Oryctolagus cuniculus: one gene and its partner. The protein of the gene in region 2 interacts with the protein of the main gene of each other region in a biochemical or structural test. Links are inferred from orthologs where the notes say so. Each region holds a gene or a part of one and is shown on either strand. Other genes may lie near its edges.

The links.
Region 1: the proteins of TLN1 (region 2) and ITGB1 form a complex in vitro, tested with the Homo sapiens proteins (3 studies listed by BioGRID and IntAct, with this or other methods). The link is inferred for Oryctolagus cuniculus from reciprocal best matches to the Homo sapiens genes TLN1 and ITGB1.

What each region holds. Positions count from the first base shown.
Region 1 is NC_091444.1:108,927,999-108,934,997, reverse strand, and holds part of ITGB1 (integrin beta-1), read right to left. Parts: intron 6,018-6,999; coding exon 5,877-6,017; intron 5,740-5,876; coding exon 5,540-5,739; intron 4,253-5,539; coding exon 4,014-4,252; intron 3,830-4,013; coding exon 3,607-3,829; intron 2,372-3,606; coding exon 2,139-2,371; intron 1-2,138.
Region 2 is NC_091432.1:198,629,457-198,636,455, reverse strand, and holds part of TLN1 (talin-1), read left to right. Parts: exon of another isoform or gene 1-44; intron 45-1,236; 5' UTR 1,237-1,269; coding exon 1,270-1,399; intron 1,400-1,638; coding exon 1,639-1,736; intron 1,737-1,937; coding exon 1,938-2,067; intron 2,068-2,146; coding exon 2,147-2,299; intron 2,300-2,829; coding exon 2,830-2,972; intron 2,973-3,075; coding exon 3,076-3,203; intron 3,204-3,891; coding exon 3,892-3,952; intron 3,953-4,565; coding exon 4,566-4,670; intron 4,671-4,974; coding exon 4,975-5,130; intron 5,131-6,605; coding exon 6,606-6,707; intron 6,708-6,863; coding exon 6,864-6,940; intron 6,941-6,999. UniProt on the Homo sapiens protein: High molecular weight cytoskeletal protein concentrated at regions of cell-matrix and cell-cell contacts. Involved in connections of major cytoskeletal structures to the plasma membrane.

The DNA of each region.
Region 1 (6,999 bases), on a different chromosome or scaffold from region 2:
CCATCCACACCCAGGCAGCACTTCTGCATCTGGTCACCATCACCCAGGAACCACAAGGACCTACCCCAAAGCCACTAAGTGGGTGTACAAGGCTGCAGCATAGATGATCAAGAAACAAAAGTCCTATATAAAATGTATTTCTACATATTAAAAACTGCAATTTTTAAAAAGTATCATTTATAGTATCCTCAAAATCATGAAGGTCTTATGTGTTAATCTCACGTGTAAGCTCCTGGCTCCTGGCTTCAGCCTGGCCCAGCCCTGGCCATTAAGGCCATTTGGGGAATGAACCAGCAGACGGAAGATCTTTCTATGTGTCTGTCTCTCCATCTCTCTCTGTAACTCTGCATTTCAAATAAATAAATCTCAGAAAGGGAAAAAAAAAAACTTGAAGACTTAATACTGTCATATTTAATAATTCTTCCCAATTTGATCTATAAACTCAATGCATTCCCAATCAAAAACCTGGCAAGATTTTTATAGAAATCAGCATACTCAGCCAGTGCTGTGGCTCACTAGGCTAATTCTCCACCTGCAACGCCGGTACTCCAGGTTCTAGTTCCGGTCGCTCCTCTTCCAGTCCAGCTCTCTGCTGTGGCCCGGGAGTGCAGTGGAGGATGGCCCAAGTGCTTGGGCCCTGCACCCGCATGGGACACCAGGAAGAAGCACCTGGCTCCTGGCTTCAGATCGGCACAGTGCGCCGGCCGTACTGTGGTTCCCTCTGAACCAACAGAGGGAAGACCTTTCTCTCTCTTTCTCTCTCTCACTGTCTAAATCTGCCAGTCCAAAAAAAAAAAAAAAAAAATCAGCATACTAATTCTAAAATGTATACAGAAAGTGAAGAACTAGGTAAGAGTTTCAAAACTTTTTGGAAGAGCACAAAGTTGGAGGACTCACATGACCTATTTTCAAGGCTGGATAGGCCGGCACCGCGGCTCACTAGGCTAATCCTCCGCCTAGCAGCGCCGGCACACCGGGTTCTAGTCCCGGTCGGGGTGCCGGATTCTGTCCCGGTTGCCCCTCTTCCAGGCCAGCCCTCTGCTGTGGCCAGGGAGTGCAGTGGAGGATGGCCCAGGTGCTTGGGCCCTGCACCCCATGGGAGACCAGGAAAAGCACCTGGCTCCTGGCTCCTGCCATCGGATCAGCGCGGTGCGCCGGCCGTAGCACGCCGGCCGTAGCACGCCGGCCGCGGCGGCCATTGGAGGGTGAACCAACGGCAAAGGAAGACCTTTCTCTCTGTCTCTCTCTCTCACTGTCCACTCTGCCTGTCAAAAAAAAAAGACTGGATAGAAAGCTACCAATGTATGGCATGGCTCCAGCACACAGGCAGAGACAACAAAAAAACAGTCCTACCCATGCACAAAGGCGGGGAAAGACAGTGTTTCCAACCAACAGAAGCCACTCCCCATGCTAAGATACAATCTAATACCTAAGCTGTTCTTAGACACAACAGTAACAGAAGATCCAGGAAAAAAAACCTTGGTCGACAATTCGTCACAATCCAACTTCTGGTGTTCAACAGACACTGCCGAAGAACAACAGTGGGCAGCACTTGCCAGCGGCTGTCTGATAATGCAGAAGAGGACACTGACCTCAGAACCACTGGGCAGCTTCTCACCAAGTTCAACACAGGCTTGCCACCTGCTCCAAAGTCCCATTCCCACATTTACTTGAGAGCAACAGGACTTGTGTGCACAAAAACCTGCATACTCATGAGAAAAATTCCCAAGAATCTATTAAAAAAAGCTACTAGAAAAGCCAATAAAAAATGTTCCATTGGCTGAGACCTTGAACAAATTCAATACTTTATTATATCCTTTCACAAATTATCCTCCTCAGTATCCAAGCCCAAATTAAACTCTAATCTAAACGTCCCCAATGACGACATAACTCTTATCCCGCATGTCCTACATGCCTTGTATCACTTCTCACTTTTAATCTGCATATTCCCTACTGAGCAAACCTAAACCCTCTCTTCTCCTGCTTCTTCTCCAGTTAATTAACTACTACTCTAAGCTGTAAGAGATGAGAAATTGCCCAGCTTGGACCTGGACAGTCCAGCTGACGCTGTTTCTTGGTGTCAGGGAATCTGACGAGGCCTAACCAGGACGGACACAGGCGAGGACAGGGTTCCTGACCTGGAGTCTCCACGACGTGCACGATGGCCTCGTTGTTCCCGTTCACCGAGTACGTGAAGTAGAACCAGCAGTCGTCCACATCCTTCTCCTTACAGTGGGACAGGGGGTCCACCTGGCCTGGCTGGGGCAGCTTGTCCCGATTTTCCACCTTGGTGATGTTGAAATGTGAGCATTCCTGTGCACATTTGTCTTTCTTTTCTCCTTTATTGAAGGCTCGGCACTGGACACATTCTCTGAGGATACAAACCGCTGCATTACACATGTGCTGTTTAAAAGGTCAACATTTTCTTAAACATTAACCTTGCGTGCTAAACTCTGGTGACTGAATTCAACTAGGAGCTACAAAAGAACTGCAGAGGCATGCTATTCCTCAATGGGAAACCACATCGGAAGATGACAGTCTCTGGGAGTGGGCATTTAGCCTAGTGGTTAAGGCACCCACACTGGAATAGGTGAGTTTGATTCCCAGCCCCAGATCCTGACTCCAGTTTCTCCCAACACCGACCCTGGCAGGCAGCCATGATGCCCCAAGTATGTGGCTTCCTGTCACCCATGTCTGAGACTTGGAAAACATTCCCAGTTCCTGTGTTCAACACAGCTTAGTCCTACCCACTGCGGGCATCTGGGTTGCTCTCTCTCAAATTAATAAGAACTTTTAAAAAGACTGGTAGTTTCCCCAATGAAATTATAAATTCATTAAAGTTCAAGCTGAAAATGCAATTAAAAAAAGGTAATAAAACTAGCCCTGTGACATAGTAAGTATGTAACACAAGACCAAAGTAACCTAAGTAGTGTGTTACTGGGACAATAGTGATGCTTCAAGGGGAAAGCCTTCCATTTGGCCAAGTCAGAAGATAGTACATCAGGGGCCAGCACTATGGCCATTTGGCCAAGTCAGAAGATAGTACATCAGGGGCCAGCACTATGGCGTAGTGGGTAAAGCAAGCCACCACCTGCAGTGCTGGCACCCGTTCAAGTCCTAGCTGCTCCTCTTAGATCCATCTCTCTGCTGTGGCCTGGGAAAGCAGTAGAAGATGGCCAAGTCCTTGGGCCCCTGCACCCACGTGGGAGACCCAGAAGCTCCAGGCTCCTGGCTTCAGATCGGCCCAGCTCCAGCCATTGCGGCCATTTGGAGAGTGAACCAACAGATGGAAGATCAATCTCTCTCTCTGCCTTTCAAATCAATCAATCAATAAACTTTAAAAAAAAAGTATTTCAGCAATTTAACAAAGGTAACAATAGATTTAATTACATAGTAAACTTGAATCAAAATAATCTTACAACTCTAACACACTTCAATATCCTGTAACGGGCACTAGCTAATAAGAAAGAGTTTTCACGAATTAAAGAGTGGGTTTCCACATGGCAGACACTGTATTTATAGCATGCTCAACAGGGGCCCTGCTCCAGTTCTGGTGATCACACACAGTTAAGCATCAACGCCTTCAAATAATTAGGAGATACGTACTTGTGCTCCGCACAGACACCCAGGCAGGTCTGGCACATCTCACAGGTTTGCCCTTGAAACTTGGGATCTGTACACTTGCAGACGCCACACTCGCAGATACCCCGGCCATTACAGATCTGCCCGTTTGTGGCCATGCAAGACGTCGTATCCAGAGAACAGTCGCACGCACTGCCGGTGTAGTTAGGATTGCACTCACACACACGACACTTGCAAACACCATTTCCTGCGATTAAAAATACCATGTCACAAACTAGGATTAAAAACATACAATCACAGCACTGACTCAGAAGTAAAAGGGAGTCACAATATGGAAGGAGTGGGTCCAAGGGACGGACTGAGCCCTCTAATTCCTCGAGACTTTTTGTCACTCCAGTGGGATCACTTCACATCTCAGACCCTTTCCTCACCTCCACAAATTAAGCCATTGGAGCGATCACAGTTGAAATTATCACACTCGCAGAATTTGCCAGAATAGATTTCATTTGTGTTGTCCCTCTTCCTGCACACACACTGCCCACAGACGCACTCCCCGTTGTTGCTGCAGATTTCTGAACTGTTTTCTTTCCTGCAGTAAGCATCCATGTCTTCACTGTTCACCTCATCTGTACTGCATTCACAGTGTCTGCCTACACGTCCCTCGTTGCACCTGAACAAAGATTCCAAAATTGCACTTGCATAAAATAAAAATAACCTACAATCGCAAACCATGGGAGAGGCAACGAAACTATGAACAGTCTCTTCATGCTGCAAATAATAAATAGAAAAATATCTGGAGAAACAGAATAAACTTAATTGTAAATATGGTAGCTGTAATTTCAAATGATGTGCTATTACAATTGTAACTACATGAACTATGGCCCCATTGTAACCTTAAAAGTACAAGAAACATATGCAAGAAAGAGCAAGAAGCTGAATAAAAATGAACAGAGCACTGACTGAAAATATAGTATGCTGTTTAAAAACAAACTTATCCCACTGGCCCAGACTTTTCAGATGCCATGTACATTTCTAGAACAACTTATGCTCATGGACACTGCAAGCTGATTCTACATATACAGAAAGGGACGAAAGAGATGGCATTTTCAGGGCATTTTCAAGGCATTTTCGTTGAATGATGTCTCACTAAAAACAGATCTGCATGACTCCAAGAGGGTATGTACAACATGGAAAGAGAGAACTGTAACATCTGAACTTCTGTAGGACAGCCAGTTGGTGTCACTGACAGTGAAGACGGCACATGTCTTCCTCGTGGTTAACACCCTGCTGGCCCAGTCATCTGCAGTCGACATCTAGATCAAATGTCCCAGTCTCCTTTAAAGAGAAAACTATGTTCGGAATATACTGAGTTTTAATTTTTAATTTAAAAAGTAACCAAAGTGTGAAAATATTTGAAATACTTGGACTAAAGTTATTAGTAGTATATTCTATGTTCTGAAAAATAACTTGCTTTTTAATTTTACAACACATACTTATTTTTAAGAAATCATTCCAACAATGTGGAAGGTGGACATACTTGAAGGCTTCCCAATTCTGTTTCCCAGAGAAAGCCACCACTATCGGTTTCACGTTTTTCCAAAAACATGTTTCAATGCTATTTCCAAAATTTTACATAAACTTACTCTGCTCTACAAAGGCTGCACTTCTATCTCACGACAGAAAAACCAAGTGCTGTCGTAACAGTTTGCTGGATACACAGCTTGAGAGACTGCGCAGTCTCATTTTAAAGAGCAGTCTTGTTAAGAGACAGGTGAGAGAGCTCTCTGTAAATACCACACACAAGACCATCAAGTTCATCGTGTGGTGAGCAACAGTGCCCGGGACAAATCATGTCTCTGCTCCAAGCGGAGATCTTCTGTGGCTGTCCTGACACACAGCCTGCCCCTCGCTCTCCAGGCAGTGCACATCTGGGCACACTCCAACAGTCCTGGCTCACCTGCAAGCCCCACACTCAAACGTGCCATTCCCATCGTGGCACTGGGGACTTCTCGGGATGCCTGTGTCCTGGCACTCACACTTGCAGATGAACTCAAGGACCACCTCCACCTCCTCGGTGAAGCCCAGAGGCTTGATTTTAATGGTTTCAGAATGCTTAACTGGACACTGATTTGAAGTTATGCTGATTTCAAAGTGAACCTTGAAGGAAAAAAGCAAGATTAAGTGAACAATAAGCTAAGCAACATGAATCTGCTAAAAACTATCTCAAAAACCCACTCATTTCTTTTTAGTATGTTTCAAATCATGAACTGCATTTGCTTATAAATAAGCAATACCTCATCTCCAATGGAGATATTGGAGCACTTCCTTCCGTTCTCCCCTGTGCCATTCACCCCGTTCTTGCAGTAAGATTTGTAATTTATCGTTACTCCTTCTGGCAATTTGCTGTTTTCCAAAATGACTTCTGAAGAAAGGGACTAAAAGAAAGACTAATTATACACAAGAAAGTTGAAATGCTCCTGGGATGCATAAGATGACCAGTCAAGACAGTATTGTAAAGTCTTACAAAACACAAACAGGCACTGGTTAATAAGGGTCTCATCTGTAGAACCACCTACATGGTTGAAAGGGCATTCTGTTCCTACAACGAGGTAAAACAGCAAGGATCGTGCAGTCCCAAGGCCTGATACTGACGAGGAGGAGTGTGTTCCTTACCCCCTGGGCAAAGTCTCCAGGTCCTCAACTCACTATGGCCAAGGCACTCTACTGCGCAGTCTGGGAGCGACTGTGCTTGGAAGCCACTGTAAGCCTGGCCAGCAAAGACTAAAAACTCTTAAGGGGGAAAGACTCAAGCTAGTGCGGGCAGTCAGCCTAGAGGTTAATAATGATGCCCACACCCTACAAGTGGGTTTGAGGATGGCCTCTGGCTTCTGATTCCAACCTCCTGCCAATGCAGACCCAGGTGTGCGGCAGTGCTAGCTTCCTGCCAACCATGTGGGACACCGAGTTCTCTGCTCCCAGCTTCAGCCCAGCACAGTCCCAGCCTTGTGGACATCTGGGGAGTGAACCAGTAGATGGGAGTTCTGTCTGTATATAAACGAACATTTTGTAAAAACTCCGACCTCTCAGAACAATGAGGGCTGCAGTAGCAAACTACCTGTTGCTCACACTCTTAATAAAGATCAAAGTTGGGAAAACAGTCTGTTGAGAAAAAACAGCTGGGGGAAGACAAAGGAACTACTGGAATCTTCAAAGTTGCTGGGTGGCATCCGCCCTACTGGTTACAACACTAACTAGGATGCCCACGACCCACACCACATGCCTGGGTTTGACTGCCAGCTGGCCAGTTCCTGATTCCAACTCTAGGAGACAGCAGTAATGACTGAAGTCGCTGGGTTCCTGCCACCAACATGGGAGACCTGGATTGAGTTTCCAGCCCCAGCTTTGGCCCCCGAGCCC
Region 2 (6,999 bases):
TCCTAACAACCTCACCTCTGCTTTCCGACCTTACCTCCTAGCCTGCTTTTCCCTCCTTAACACCAGCATTTTGCCAGGAAGAAAATGGGGAGGAGCCTGGAACTGCTCATTTTGTTAATTAAGAAGCATCCAATCCCCATAAACCAAGCTGGGTCACATCAGTAGCAGCCAGGCAGACTTGTCCTTCAGTGGCCTGGGCGCCACCTGCTGCTTCCAGTGGCTCCTCCAGCCTGCTAAGGGGTGGTACTGGGAGGGTGGAAGAAGGCGGGGCAAGGCTGTAATCCTGAGTTACAGTGAGAATACTGTCAGGGGAGGCAGCTCACTTGGGGGGCAGAGTCTGAAAAGGACTCAGGGAGTAGGAGAGAGCATAGAATGAGTTGTGCTGAGTATTAAATATGAACTTGGTAACTTGGAGAGAGTGGGGACTGAGACAAGAGGACTGGGCTGTTTCTCTGACCTTCCTTCGAGTCTTTCCTGTCCTCCTAGGATCTGTTTCCTCTTCTGCAAAACTGAAGAGTTCACCAGATAATTTTTGAGATCCCTTTGGAACAGAGAATCATAATTCTAGCTTGACTGCCAGGGAAGCCAAATATAGGATCTGGCTCCCTAGGGAGGCCCCCAGTATTCAGGTTAGAGGGAAGATGGGGCCAGAGAAGGCCTGGATGGCTGGAACAGCCAGCATTCGGTCTGCTGCCAGGCTGGCTAGAGTCTGCAGGCCTCCAGAGCCCTTGGGAATGATCTCATATAACGTCTTCATGTTGCAGAGAAGGAAGCTGTGAGAGGGAAGGTCATGTGATGAGCTGAGACAGGGCTCTGAAAATCCCACACTAGGGAGGGTGCAGTGCATCCATGGGGAGGCAAAGAGAAAAATACTGGACTGGGAAACATGAAAACAAGGCAGGGGCAGGCTGGGAAAGGAAGTAAGCAGGGTCAGGGGGCAAAATGGGCCCTTGAAAGAAAGACAGGTGGCCCAGATTCCCCTGGAGAGGGCAGGGCGGTGTCCTCGGGTGACCCCGCGTTTCAGACCTGCCCTTACACTTCGTGTCCCAGTCTCTCCCTCGGAGGTCTTCAGTGGTCAGGGCTGGTCCTTCTGATGTAAATTACTGTTTCCTCTTTAAAATTATAAGATAGAGACAGCCTTATTACTGTCAGCTCTGGTGAATCCCTGAGTCTCCACCACCTGGGGGCCTCTTCTCCGAGGAGAGTCTATTCTAATAGCCTGACACCACGGGCCAGGTGTAGCCAGGCCGCAGAGGAGACACCGCCACCATGGTCGCGCTTTCGCTGAAGATCAGCATCGGGAATGTGGTGAAGACGATGCAGTTTGAGCCGTCTACCATGGTGTACGACGCCTGCCGCATGATTCGGGAGCGGATCCCGGAGGCGCTGGTCGGCCCTCGTGAGTCCCACTCCCTGGGGGGCTGGTGCGGAAGTCCTCAGTCCAGTCTTATCCCCAGGCCCTCAGCCTTAGGGAGTGACCCCGCTGTGGCCGAGGGCTCCTCACACCTTGGGTCACTGCGCCCCACTCCCTCCTTTTTTAGGCCTGAGACCGCGGGAGAAATTGTAAGAGGTGGTGGTGCGGCCATCCAGTCCCAGTGGGGCCTCCGTCAGTCTGAGGTCACCCATCTTTTCTTTTAGCCAGCGACTTCGGGCTGTTTCTGTCGGATGATGACCCCAAAAAGGGCATATGGCTGGAGGCCGGAAAGGCTTTGGATTACTACATGCTCCGGAACGGGGTGAGTACCACCTCAGCAGGGACCGCCTCCGGCTTTCAGCACCCGCGTGTCGCCCCTGTCCCCCGCTCGTGCTAGTTTCCTATCATAGGGAGCCATAAGACCCCGGTTTTGAATGAGCCACCATAGTCTGTCTTATAAGAATCTCCTTCCTCCACTCTGGCCAAGTAGAAAGGAACGAATGCCCCTTTCCTCTCCTGACAGGACACCATGGAGTACAGGAAGAAACAGAGACCCCTGAAGATCCGGATGCTAGACGGGACTGTGAAGACCATCATGGTGGATGACTCCAAAACGGTCACCGACATGCTCATGACCATCTGTGCCCGCATCGGTAAGGGGCTGGGCTGGGGCGGGGGTGCTGCGACTTGGCCAGGAGACTGGGGAGCTATGAAACCAGTCCCTTCCCCCAGGCATCACCAACCATGACGAGTATTCACTGGTCCGAGAACTGATGGAAGAGAAAAAGGAAGAGGTGACAGGGACCCTACGAAAGGACAAGACACTGCTGCGAGATGAAAAGAAGATGGAGAAACTGAAGCAGAAATTGCACACCGACGACGAGTGTAAGCAGAACCGGAAGAGAGGGCATTGGAGAGGCATTGGAAAGGCAGCTGTTGATTATTTATTCAGTGTCCACTTTTGTAAGGCACTGTGTTACGCTGGGGATACAGCAATGCTAGCGTTGTGGCCCAGAGGGTTAAGCCGCCAGTTGGGTTGCCAGCATACTGTAACAGAGTGCCAGTTCATGTCCTGGCTGCTCCACTTACGATCCAGTTTTTGCTAATGCAACTGGGAACGCAGTGGCTGATGCCCAAGTACTTGGGTCTCTGCCACCCTTATGGGAGACCCAGATGGAGTTCCAGGCACCTGGCTTTGGCCTGGCCCAGCTCCAGCTGTTGCAAGCATTTGGGGAGTGAACCAGCAGATGGAAGATCTCTCTCTCTCTCTCCCTCCCTCTCTTTGCCTGTCACTCAGCCTTTCAGATAAATAAAATTCCATGGCAGGGGGAGATGAGGGAAGATGGAAAATGAAGGAGTAAACAGGACAGCCAGGGGCCATGGGTTGAGCACTGAGAGGCCTGTCTGTGTCCCAGTGAACTGGCTGGACCACGGCCGGACGCTCAGGGAGCAGGGGGTGGAGGAGCACGAGACGCTGCTGCTGCGGAGGAAGTTCTTCTACTCGGACCAGAACGTGGATTCTCGCGACCCTGTCCAGCTGAACCTTCTTTACGTGCAGGTCTGGTGGAGGCTTGGCTGGGGGCAGCAGGGGCTGCGGAAGCACAGTGGGGGTGTCCCTTCACCCACAGCCTGCATTCGCCCCATCCCCTTGTGCTCTGCAGGCGCGAGATGACATCTTGAACGGCTCCCATCCTGTCTCCTTCGACAAGGCCTGTGAGTTCGCCGGCTTCCAGTGCCAGATCCAGTTTGGGCCCCACAATGAGCAGAAGCACAAAGCTGGCTTCCTTGAGTGAGTGACCCACATCGCATATGCTGTCTGGGCCCGGGAATCCCTGTCTCCACCCTCTCCATTTCCTCTTCTGAGGGGTGCCAGGGTTTGACCCACCTGGGGACCTTCTTAGCTGCCGTCATCCATTTGTCTCTGCACTGGCCCCGTGTGGAATCCAAATGTAGCCCAGTGTCTCTGCCCTGGCCCTTCCCCCTGAAGCAAGCATGTAGCTGTTTTGAGATTCTCTGAAAAATTTTGTTGGAATAGCCTAAAGAAAACAGGATAAAATTTTCCTTGTAGAGGTCTTCCTATTAGAAGTTCTTACACACCTCATCCACTGGTATTTCTTGGAATGCATAGAGTTTGGTGTGGCTTTCTCAGCATCCTAAATCTATGATGATCCCTTTAGAGTGCTTTCTCATCTGGTTCCCTGAAGTGGTGTTCTAGATCCTCTTTCCCTCGGGGACTGAGCCTCCAACTTAAAGTTCTATCAGTCCCTTCCTTGCAGGGAGGGACACAGCCCCATTCAAGGGCTCATGCTAAGTCATTCTGCCTCAGAAGACAACCAGGCTCAGGTCCCTTGCTGTCTTCCTTCTCCCTAAAGATAGCACTGGCCTAGACATTTCCTCACACCCCTAGGCCCACAGTTCATGGCCCACATGCCCCTGATGCTGTCCACCACATGCTGACCCTCCCTTTTCTGGTGTAGCCTGAAGGACTTCCTGCCCAAGGAGTATGTGAAGCAGAAGGGAGAGCGTAAGATCTTCCAGGTGAATGGGGGTAGGGGAAAGTGGGGTGACCTGGGAGCTTTGCTGCTTAATCCTACTAAGTGGATCCTTGCCCCCCACCTCTCCTTCCCCTGCTTCTACCCACCACGCTGCTCTTCTGCCTCTCCCTTGCCAAGAAAGCAAAAGACTTGGACCTGTGGTCTCGGCTCCATGGCTGTTTGCCGTGGCATTCAATCCAGTGTTCTTGTTTTCTTTGCCTCTAACATGGGATAACAGTGCCTGCCCTGCATAGGATTGCTAGGAGAATCAGATGAGATAGTGTACCTGCAATTGTTGGGAAAGCCTAATCCTTGTTCCTACGTAAGGTGTATACTCCGCCCAAAAGGCTCTCTCTTTGACCTTCCATTTCCTAACTGTCCATTCACATCTCTGGAATGTTTGCAAGTTCCTTAACCGTATCCCTTGTATCATTGCTTGTGCGTATCCCTGGTGAGCCCCCGTCCTGTTCCCCTCTCATTTCTCATGTCATGTGTCCCAATGTAACTTTTTTTGTGTCCCCATAATACTCTCCCATTAGAGTTAACTTCCCACTTCAATCCTAAATTGTGATATTATGCCCCATGTTGCTAAATTCTTCCCCATTTCATACTTCAAGGCACACAAGAATTGTGGGCAGATGAGTGAAATTGAGGCCAAGGTACGCTATGTGAAGCTAGCCCGTTCCCTCAAGACTTACGGTGTCTCCTTCTTCCTGGTTAAGGTGGGTTACAGCCTCCTCCTCCTGCCCTCCTTGTTTCTGCAAGTCTCTGACTGCCATCTGCCAGGTTTCCCACCATTCTCTTCCTTGCTCTGACTCTGTGAAACCTGCCTGTTGCCCATCCTCTGCTACACTCCTGCCTACCCTGGATTTTTCCTTGTGCCTAGGAAAGCCTTGTCCTGGGCCTATCCACGGACACCCTCACTTAGCCCTCCCGGCCACCTCAGTGTGGTCTAGAGCTTATCTGGTCTTTCACCGCTTCTTGGCCCTCTGATGCGTAACAACCACGCCAACCTCTGCCTCACAGGAAAAGATGAAGGGGAAGAACAAGCTCGTGCCCAGGCTTCTGGGCATCACCAAGGAGTGTGTGATGCGAGTGGATGAGAAGACCAAGGAGGTGATCCAGGAGTGGAACCTCACCAACATCAAGCGCTGGGCCGCCTCTCCTAAGAGCTTCACCCTGGTGAGTCTGGGGGCTCCAGTGAAAAGGGGCTTCAGGATTCCCAGAGAAGGGCAGCTGCACTGAGCATGACTCCAGGGAAAGGGGGAACCTAGGAGCTATTGGCGGAGCATGGGGATGAGAGTGGGTGGAGAAGCCGCCTCCCCGCAGGGGAGTGGTGCTCGGTCAGCAAGTGGTAGACCCACTCTTTACAGTCAGCAGAGGGACGGCGTAAGCAGCAAGGGGAGCTCACAGCCATTCTTGGCAGGGTTGGGGGGGAAGGTGATAGAGAAACAAACCCCCATCCTCAGCAACAATTATAGACAGTAGAGTTTTTTCCCATGGCTTTCTATTTTGGGTTATGAGTTGAAAACTAATACCTACTTGATGAAGTGCCCCAATGATGAAAATAGACATGGTAGTAAATGCTATTTTTTCATGTTGGCTGTGATGCCAACCTTCGTGTATGGTCACGTAATAACAAGCATGGATGTCCTCCCAATCTTGCCAGGGAGAAAGTAATGGAGATTTCCTAAGTGACATGTTTGGATTTTTTTTTTTTAAGATTTATTTTATTTTATTTGAAAGGCAGAGTTACTTGGCCGGCGCTGTGGCTCAATAGGCTAATCCTCCACCTAGCAGCGCCAGCACACCGAGTTCTAGTCCTGGTCAGGGTGCCGGATTCTGTCCTGGTTGCTCCTCTTCCTGTCCAGCTCTCTGCTGTGGCCTGGGAGTGCAGTGGAGGATGGCCAAAGTCCTTGGGCCCTGCACCTGCGTGGGAGACCAGGAGAAGCACCTGGCTCCTGGCTTCAGATCAGCATGGTGCACCGGCCATAGCGGCCATTGGAGGGTGAACCAATGGAAAAGGAAGACCTTTCTCTCTGTCTCTCTCTCTCTCACTGTCTACTCTGCCTGTCAAAAAAGAAAGAAAGGAAGGAAGGAAGGAAGGAAGGAAGGAAGGAAGGAAGGCAGGCAGGAAGGCAGAGTTACAGAGAGACAGAGCAGTGAGAGAGAGGTCTTCCATCACTGGTTCACTCCCCAAATGGCCACAATAGCCGGTGCTGAGCTGATCAGGAGCCAGGAGCTTCTTCCGAGTCTCCCATGCGGGTGCAGGGGCCCACGGACTTGGGCCATCTTCCACTGCTTTCTCAGGCCATAACCAAGAGCTGGATCGGCAATGGAGCAGCGGGGACTCGAACCAGCGCCCATATGGGATGCTTGCACTGCAGGAGGCAGCTTTAACCACTACACCATGGCACTGGCTCCTGTGACATGTATTTAAAACTATATAACGTAAAGGCCATTCCTCAGAAATAAAATATTTCCCTCTAAGGAAGAAAATAAAAATAATAGGTCTGAGAAAGATGGGTTTCCTGCTAGGGGGCTGTTGGCATGGGAAGACTCCCCTCCATGAGCTTGACCTTGGGTCTCCCGTCCTACTCATTTCCATCCTGGGTGGACTCAAGCTCTCCCCTCTAAGCCCCCATCTTGTCACCTAGGATTTCGGGGATTACCAGGATGGCTACTACTCAGTACAGACCACTGAGGGTGAGCAGATTGCACAGCTCATCGCCGGCTACATTGATATCATCCTGAAGAAGGTGAGCCCGGCCTGCCCTAGGCTGTCTTGCTCTCCCTTAACCTTCTCCCCAAGCCAGCCCCTTAGAAAATGCTGAATGGGGAGAAAAGAGGTTACCTTGTCCCCACCTGCCTCTTTGACTGTTCCAACTCTTGTTCTTTTTTTCTTCTTCCTTCAGAAAAAAAGCAAGGATCACTTTGGGCTGGAGGGAGACGAGGAGTCTACTATGCTGGAGGACTCTGTGTCCCCCAAAAAGTATGAAGGGAGTCGGGCTGACCCAGTCCTGTAGGAGTAGGAAAGGCAAGGCTGAGCCC